Linked DNA regions of Caenorhabditis elegans. The protein of the gene in region 2 purifies or fractionates together with the protein of the main gene of each other region. This does not show direct contact. Each region holds a gene or a part of one and is shown on either strand. Other genes may lie near its edges.

Region 1 (3,643 bases), on a different chromosome or scaffold from region 2:
TTTTAAATACAACGAATCCGACATAGGTTCTTCTACACGCCGATTATTCTCTGTTATACTTCCCCCCGTGTCTTTCATTGATTCCCACTCGTCCCATTGGAGGATTATCTAACTTTTCAGGTCACCCGTAGCTACCGTAATCCTCGCCCGTTTCAGAGCCGGCTGTCAAACAAACATTGCACTTTCTACCGGAATTCCGAGAATTTGAAAAGCTAATGGATCAATTCTTCAATGTGGTCATTCGTCAGACACCAGAATACAAAAGCAAGTTGTTCGCTTTTTTCGCCAATCGGCGATGAACCGGACGAGAAAATGGATAGGATGTAGTAAAAATCGAGGAAAATCAAAAGTAGAACTCGCTAGACATTTTTAAAAATTCCAGTTATTTTCTTTTTAAATCAATTTCTTTACTGAAACGGTGTGATCTCTACAAATCAAGCTGACGTTCAAACTGTCATATCAATTTGCCTGTTTATTTTACTCCGGTGTATTATATATATAGTACAATCACAATAAACCAGTTTTATATAATTCAGTTGTTTGTTTTAAGAAAAACATTGAATGAATGACACTGTACAGTTTTATTCGGAAAACATTCAAAGTGAAAATTCTTGAAAAGAAAAAAAATGAAAGAACGAATTATGTGAATTTTTGACAGTCACTGAAAATCGGGTGGGAATAAAAATAAGTTCAAAATATATAAATTAACTGGAAGTGAAATCACTGGACCATTTCGTTGTTTGTCTTGTCTGAGAGTGGCTCCGCCATCGATTCCGGAACTTTCGTGTCAGTGTTGATCTGAACGCCAGGCTCGTCATCTATAATTACAGGGTGAGAAGCACACATCACGAAACAAGAAGGGGTTAGAGAAACCAAGTAACACTTACCAGCCATATCAACATCCTCATTTGCTCCATCGTCCTCCATTTTCTCATCTGCGCCTTTCTGTTCGGCCCCGTCAAGTGCATTGGCCAATCGTTCATTGAAGCTCTCGTTCAAATCCACTTCTTCAGCGTTGGCCTCCATCTCGTCATCATCCTGAATAAAATTATTTAATTTTTGAATAAGTAAAATTCATTTTCTCACCTCTTCCTCCTCATCGTCATCTTCCTGGCCATCATCATTCAGAGGCATGAGGTCATCTTCCGCGAATACTCTGTTAGCCTCATCCTCGACAGGCTCTGCGACCGGATCCTCATCAGTCCAGCGAATCGGGAATGTGGTGATGCGAAGATCTTCAGTTTCGACTTTGCGGGAAAGCTTTTCGATGAGTGGCTGCGATGGGGGATTCTCTTTGAGCTCTTCCTCGGTGTACTCATTTGCCACGAACCATCCCATATTGATAAACTCCTGATCGTTGTACTTGCAGCGCAGGAGAAGTACGCTGACACCGACGATATCATCGACTGGGATCTTCGAGATATCCGGATGATCCGCGTCGAACACAAACTTGTGGCGTCCTTCTGGAATTGGACCAACGAGCGCTGAATCGAGAACTTGGTCAAAGTCTCGGGATGTTCCGGATCCGACGTAGACCAATTCCCATTCGAGATCTGAAAATTATCATTATTATCGATGAGTTTATATTTTCCTCTTTCTTACCATGCGGCAAGTGCTCAAAAACTTCAAATGTGATCTCCAACTTGAATTTGTCGACAAACATCGCAGGATTGTCGAGAATTTGTACTTGAACAATGTTGACACGGGAAGCCATCTGAAAGAAAAATATAATTAATTATTTAGGAGCCCACTTTTTCAAAATAAAAGACAATTCACAACAGTATTGGCATGAAACAAAATAAAACTGAAAAAAAAATCATTTTTAACAAAAAGTGTATCAATTTTAGGTAAATGAAATTGCAAAAATGAATCCGCAAATGATGAGAAAAAATGAGAAATCAAAAATTCCCGCAATTATGTAAGTTAAAATGGTGGCGATTGGCGCGTACCGGTGGAGCGCGCTTGCATTTTGTTCTCTGCGTTTCGAGGGGGTACGTTTTCGTAAGGGGATTTTTTCGTAAGGAACGCTTTCAGTAGGGCAATGTGCGGCGCGCCTTTTCGCAAGCCCGCCACACAGTCCTTCGCAATGCGCCGCACGGCTTTTTGCAATGCGCCGCACGCTTCTTCGTATTTATTTATTTATTTTTCCAACAGGAAATTTCGAACGGAATTCAATTAAAAACGGATTTTTAATGGAAATTAATTAGTTTTATTCGAGCTAAATACGGATATTTTCAGAATTTTCGATGACAAAAACGGGTTTCAATCGATTTCGAATCGATTGCGAAGGACTGTGCGGCGGGCTTGCGAAAAGGCGCGCCGCACATTGCCCTACTGAAAGCGTTCCTTACGAAAAAATCCCCTTACGAAAACGTACCCCCTCTGCGTTTCTCTTTCTGCGCGTACCCTCGTGAATGTTTCACGGTGGGCCTGAAATGCAAAAATTATTCGGAATTGCCTCAAAATTTAGTAAAATCCGTACATTTAGTCTCGAAGACATTTTCTAATGCAGCGGAGTGTCCTGTCTTGAAAGTTATGGAAAAATGTAATTTCCAGATTTTAACAGCTTTTTTAATAACGTTTACGCGTTTGTAGATGAAATTCACCAAGTTTCATAATTATGTAGTCATTTTTTCATACGAAGAAAGCGAATCTCAAATCACTTGAAACTAGATGGAATGAATGAAATTGTACACGGAAACGTTGAAGTTGAGTAGAGCCGAGTTAATCTTTTTTTTTTCGCTATTCTTCTCTCGACTAATCGGAACCTGAGCAATTAACAAGAACATTAAAACCGTGATGCTTTTTATTTACAGAAAAAGATAGTACATTCGTACTTTTCGAACAAATAATACCGCAAAAATAATATCCGTATATGAATAATCGTGGAATAAAAATAATACTTGCTTTTAAGAAAATCGAGATACCATATACAATGAAGAGGTTAAACTATGCATGGCGAGTAATAATAATAAGCTAAAACGATTAAACTGGTCTCATTGGGGTTCTCATAGTGGAATTTTCCATTGTATTTCCAAGTCCCATCGGTTTCGGAGAGCTCAGTGGACATGCTTCTTTGAAATTGGCTCCTGGACGAATTACGATCTCTCCGTATGGCTCTGATTGATCAACACTTATTGCTTGAGACTTGGCCAGGGTAAGCAACGAATAAAATTGCTCTGCAGCTTGCTTGCGATTCTTGGCAGTTGCTGTGACAGATGAGAAGTCCGCTTGTCCCGAAGTCTCAATATCCGCGGAGACTTTCTTTAGAATGTGCTTGGCGCGTTTCGCCCATTTGCCATCGTCTTCCTTGTAGGTCGAAGTATTTCCGAATCCATAGGCTTCAAGCTGGCCACGTCTGCTGGAATTTGAAGAACCGAACGGATCAGACCAATCCTCTGCGTCCTCGTTCTCTTTGTTCTGTAAAATAATATTTTAAGAGTTGAAATTCGCACCAAAAATTACCTCTCCAGCGAATCCACTCTGGATAGGGATCGGAGCACACTCTTGATGTTCTACTTCTTGTGGAAAATCGAAGTTGTCACCAAAGTCCATTTCCTGAGCTGGTTGTCTGTCATCATCATCATCCATGCGCACATCATTAAAGAATTCATCAACGGCTGGTCCCTGCGCTTGAATATCT
Region 2 (4,908 bases):
CACAAAACTGTTCCATGTCGGCATGGGAATACATTTTTGTAAGTATGGGAACAAATGTATGTGTGGGAATGTCGGCATAGGAACGTTCGACTACTGGATGTAAGCATGGGAATTTTGTATGCACGGGAAAAAATGTATGTATGAGAATGTCAGCATGGGAACGGAAAAAAGGGAAAAAATGAGCTGTAGGCATGGGAGTACTCGAACTACTGGGCGTAAGCATGGGAATATTTTGTATGCACGGGAGAAAATGTCAGCATGGGAAATGTGTGCATGGGAAATGTGAGCATGGGATAGATTGCCCAATTTTTAGATGTTGTTTTTCATATAAAATACCCACGTCATCATATATTTTTCATTTTGTATGTAATTTTGTGTTACTCCCACATTTGCAAAAACATTTTTCTTTTATTTTATGTGATTTTCAATACATTTCCATATCAATATACAGAAGAAATGTTTAATTAGAATTTTTTATAAATCGAATTAAAGAAATGACCAGAAGAATATACAAACTTATACAGTTACATACTGAAATTAAAAAGGTGAAACGGAAATTTTTTGAAAACATTTGGATTTTTAATTCTTATTAATGAGAGTGGGATGTCTGATTTAAATCATGAAGGTAAAACAGTTAAATTTTTTAAAAAACTTTTTTGCAACGAAGTTTTGAATAGCTCAGTCTAACTTGGAAAAAAAAACTAATTTCTACTTTTTTAAATACATTTTTACTTTTCATTCGTTTTCTCAATAAATTCAGATTTTGTTTCCAAAAAACTCACCACAAAAATTCATAAATGTTCATTTTCAAACTTACAAATTTTTTTCTACTTCGAACACAAGAATATTCTGATTGACCTAAAAAGAAATAGTACAATTTTCAATTAAAGAACTTTTTAAACAAAGTAAATTGTGTAGAGCCATAAACAGAAATGCATGAATAGGGGGTAGGCTGGCAGGCGCGTAGGCCTTTTCACGTGCCTTCCGCGAATTTTCTAAAACGCCAATAAAATTTTATATTGTTTCAGTATGTTGACAAATTCCAGCTGCACTGACATCCGCTAATAAAGTATCAACATTAAATTTTAAGAGATTTCCAGTGTTTTTCCTTTTTTTCTGATTATTCACACTTCCGCACTCAACGTATCTCACAGAATACCACGTATTTGCAGTTCTGAATCACATTCTTCTGTCTCTTATCCCCACTCTAGACAGCTATTTGATGAATTTCCTTCCTTTTTCGTATAGCTACCGAAACAATATCTTTTGTTATTGTTCCTTGTATTCACATTTTAACAGCTTCTAGAAAATTAGGTTTTGTGCAATTTGAGCGGAAAATAAGGTTTTGTATTTTGCTTAATGTAGATTGATCTACGAGATAGTGATTTATTTCTCCGTTTCTTGCTTATATTTTTCGTGAAATTTGAAGTAAAATTACTGAAATAGAATATTAAATTAATTTATTAATAAAATTGATCTTCCCTTTGCTGTCCAGAAAATGTGACAAATCATGCTCTTAAATTGGCTAATTTAACACATAATGTTTTTATTCTACAGTTTCATGTTCTCGTCATAATTGCAAATACTTTTCTCCTACAATATCTTTTTTTTCTCTGCTTAAAAATTAAGAATGACGTCACGGATGTTTTTCCACTAGAGTCGCCCTGCAAAATAATTGTGACGTCACATTCTGGAAAAACCACATTTTCCAGAAATCTGCGTTAAAAAACATTAAAAATTTCAACAATAAAAAACGGTTTCATAAATATTACTAATAATCGTTGATAATATGTTCAATTTATTAATTATCAGGTGATCAGTCAAAATGCGAATTTCGAACAATTTAAACCTCCTCCTTCAATGTTCTTCACTCATTTGTGCAATCGTTTTCAACTCACTACTGATCTACTTGATAATCACAAAATCTCCGAAGAAAATGGGAAATTACAAGGCACTCATGATATATTTCTCAACGTTCTCTATGGTTTTTGCAGTGATTGATATGATTGTGCAACCGGTAAGTTCATTAAACTCAGTTTGTTTTAATTTTCAAGTTTGCAGTTCATCCACAGTTACGGATCATGTTTCTTCATGATAATGAGCATCAAAGACTGGCCGTTTACAGTGGAGATGGCTCAGATAGCTTTGAGTAAGTTGTCTGCACTTGTAGGCACTATAATGCCTACCTGCCTGCCTGCCTACAAACCATACTTAAATAACTTTGAGATTAAAAAAAAAGTCATTTAAAAATGATAATTCAAGTTTGGTCTTGAAATTTTTTTTAGCCGATTGAAGCTGATTCTGTTCTCTAGGCAGGTAGACATTTTTCGTGCCTACTTGAAAATCTGAATTGATAAATTTAATTTATTTCACTTTAATTTCAGGCATCCTATGTGGTTGTGGGGGTGTGACCCCTTTCCTGATTGCAATTCATTTCATTTATAGATTTTTTGCTTTGGAGAGGTAACAATGTTTTCATGTTTCACAAAATATATTACAGTTGGTGTTTTTTTAGGAATTCTGAAAATTCACTGTGTTGATTTGATTCACTTTTTATAGCTCATTTTGTTTTGGTTAGATCTCAAAAAATCAAACATTCAGTCGAATTCAGTAAATAATATTTTTCAGAAAAGGAAACCTAAAATATTTCTCCGGAACCTACTTGTTTATGTGGTTCTTGATTCCAATCGCTGGCGGTATTAATTGGTTTCATCTTTCTTGGTTCTACTATAGAAGAAATGATAAAACAACAGAATATATCAAGTAAGAAGTTGTTGAAGATCAAGATATTTTTTTAGAAAAATAATTTTTCAAAATATTAGACTTTTTATTTTTGCTACTACATTCAAACAAATCCAAATACACTTTAAGCGCCCAATTTTTAATTTATAAATTTAAAAAAAACACTGTTTCGGATTGCATTTATTATCCCCAATTAAATCAAAAAGTATTGGATTTGATCCGCGATTTGAATCCGCGAGTTGATAAATCTTCCAACAATGCTGGGTCATCATACAAACTACACAATTTGAAATTTTCAAATTTGGTACCGCATTTTCCTCATTCAAAATTTCACAAAAAATTTGGAACGCTTCACGAATTTGCGTGTCATCCTTGCGCAGGGGCCATGCTAATCTTCTCTGTATTGTTCCAATTTTAGTATATGTTCTCGGAAGAACGAGATTTATGGAAAAACGGGTCGTTTATATAAGGGCTATTTGGATAGTACACGACACTTCCCGGGTTCCGCCACACATTATTATTGGTGGTGGTGTTAGACGGTCTTGTACAAATCACTAAATCTAATTGAACCTGTGTTTCATGCAAAATTTAGAATTTTACTGCTATGATAATTGCTTTTAAGATTGTGAAATCTTTTGAAAAAGTTTTGTCGATTTCTTTCTCGTAAAAAATATAGCTGTTTATGGCATTTTCTATTGAATTGTCATGCAATTCATTATGGCCAGAATAGTATTTCGTTTTTTGAATAGAAGTTCACAATTCACATCACAGTTTGGCCCTCTTTTTAAAAATTAAACTTCATAGAAATTTTTCTAAAGCTGAATAAAACTTATATACAAAACTTCCAACAACATTTGACTATTATATTCAGTTTTTTTCAGGGAAGCAGTATTGGAAAACTTTGGTCTCCACATGAATGAGACCGTCTACTCTGCAGCATTATTTTACCCGGCAGATGAACATGGAGTTCCTAATTTGGATATCAAGATTTTTATCAGTTATGTCATCCTCTCTTTCAGTATGGTAAGAATTTTCAGTAACTTCCAAATAATTATTATTGTCAATTCAGGTAATTCCATTCGCAGTAATGCTTGTTGCCGGGGTGAAGAGCCATTCACAAATCAAAAAATTGATTGAACAAGGAGAATGTGACTACACAAAACGACTACAGTTGCAGCTGTACAAGGCATTACTGGTGCAGGTTGGTTAATTGAAAGACACAAGAAAGACGAACGACGTGAACAACGAAAGAAAAAATAAAGTTTCAAATTTACTACATCATCAAAACAGTTGAAATTATATAAATTTTTATTCGAGGTTTCAGACATTTCTCCCAATCTTCTTGTTCTTCATGCCAATGGGAGCATTGTTCAGTGCTCCACTTTTTCATATTGACATCGGAAGTTGGTCATATCTCACTACATACCTGTATGCTTTGTATCCAGCAGTCGATCCACTTCCAATTATGTTTATAGTACAAGAATATCGAAATGCGTTTATTGGTGAGTTAAATTTTGCTGTTTCAATAAATTGATTTAAACAAAGAATATAACCTGAATTAATTCAGAACTATTCGACTGCTTCCGATGTTCTCCACCTTCTCGAATAGAAGATTCGTCGACAATCAAAAGAGATTCAGAAACTGTATAGAATATTTCTGAGAACTGAATAAAATTTTTTTTAATTGAGAGAGAAAAATTGGAAAGTACGTCAATCGGAAACCAATTGGTAGTAATTTCAAAAAAAATAGCTTGTTGTTTATAAACTTGATAAAACAGATAAAATTGACTCGGAGAAAAATAAAACAGGAGAAAATTTGCTTCAGTTTCACACTTCCAATAAAAACGGAAATAATTTAATACGGAGCAGAACGCTTTGACTTAAAGACATTTACTGTAGCATTAACATTGACATATTTGACAATTGTCACTCTTTGTCCCGGACGTGGCTTCGCATGACATTGTGAACGTGAAGCCGTTGTCTTTCCGAATCCTGGCTTGTTGGTCCTCTTTGTGGTAACTGTGACTTTCCTGTTACGGAATTTGAATCCGGAGAGGACAAGAGCGCTGGCACATTGAGCAAGTTTTAAGAGAGCCATCTCGGCCTCCTCGCTGGTGTGATTGTTGTTGATGGCTTGTGGAGTCATTTTAAAAGTTGTGGATCTGC

The links. Proteins that work in one complex are often made in the same cells at the same time.
Region 1: the proteins of str-166 (region 2) and unc-85 fractionate together in Caenorhabditis elegans (co-fractionation; one large-scale study listed by BioGRID). This does not show direct contact.

Annotation. Positions count from the first base shown.
Region 1 is NC_003280.10:4,700,140-4,703,782, reverse strand, and holds unc-85 (putative histone chaperone asf-1), read right to left. Parts: upstream 1,715-3,643; coding exon 1,603-1,714; intron 1,554-1,602; coding exon 1,087-1,553; intron 1,039-1,086; coding exon 888-1,038; intron 819-887; coding exon 721-818; 3' UTR 564-720; downstream 1-563. Other genes in the region: F10G7.9 (C3H1-type domain-containing protein), read left to right, coding at 1-26, 157-299; scc-1 (Sister chromatid cohesion protein 1), read right to left, coding at 2,986-3,420, 3,466-3,643. UniProt on the Caenorhabditis elegans protein: Histone chaperone that facilitates histone deposition and histone exchange and removal during nucleosome assembly and disassembly.
Region 2 is NC_003282.8:4,882,471-4,887,378, forward strand, and holds str-166 (Serpentine receptor class r-10), read left to right. Parts: upstream 1-1,813; 5' UTR 1,814-1,825; coding exon 1,826-2,017; intron 2,018-2,061; coding exon 2,062-2,149; intron 2,150-2,384; coding exon 2,385-2,463; intron 2,464-2,628; coding exon 2,629-2,763; intron 2,764-2,951; exon of another isoform or gene 2,952-2,972; intron 2,973-3,065; exon of another isoform or gene 3,066-3,179; intron 3,180-3,623; coding exon 3,624-3,765; intron 3,766-3,797; exon of another isoform or gene 3,798-3,811; coding exon 3,812-3,943; intron 3,944-3,965; exon of another isoform or gene 3,966-3,986; intron 3,987-4,047; exon of another isoform or gene 4,048-4,066; coding exon 4,067-4,244; intron 4,245-4,304; exon of another isoform or gene 4,305-4,309; coding exon 4,310-4,392; downstream 4,393-4,908. Other genes in the region: T08B6.1 (60S ribosomal protein L35a), read right to left, coding at 4,598-4,888.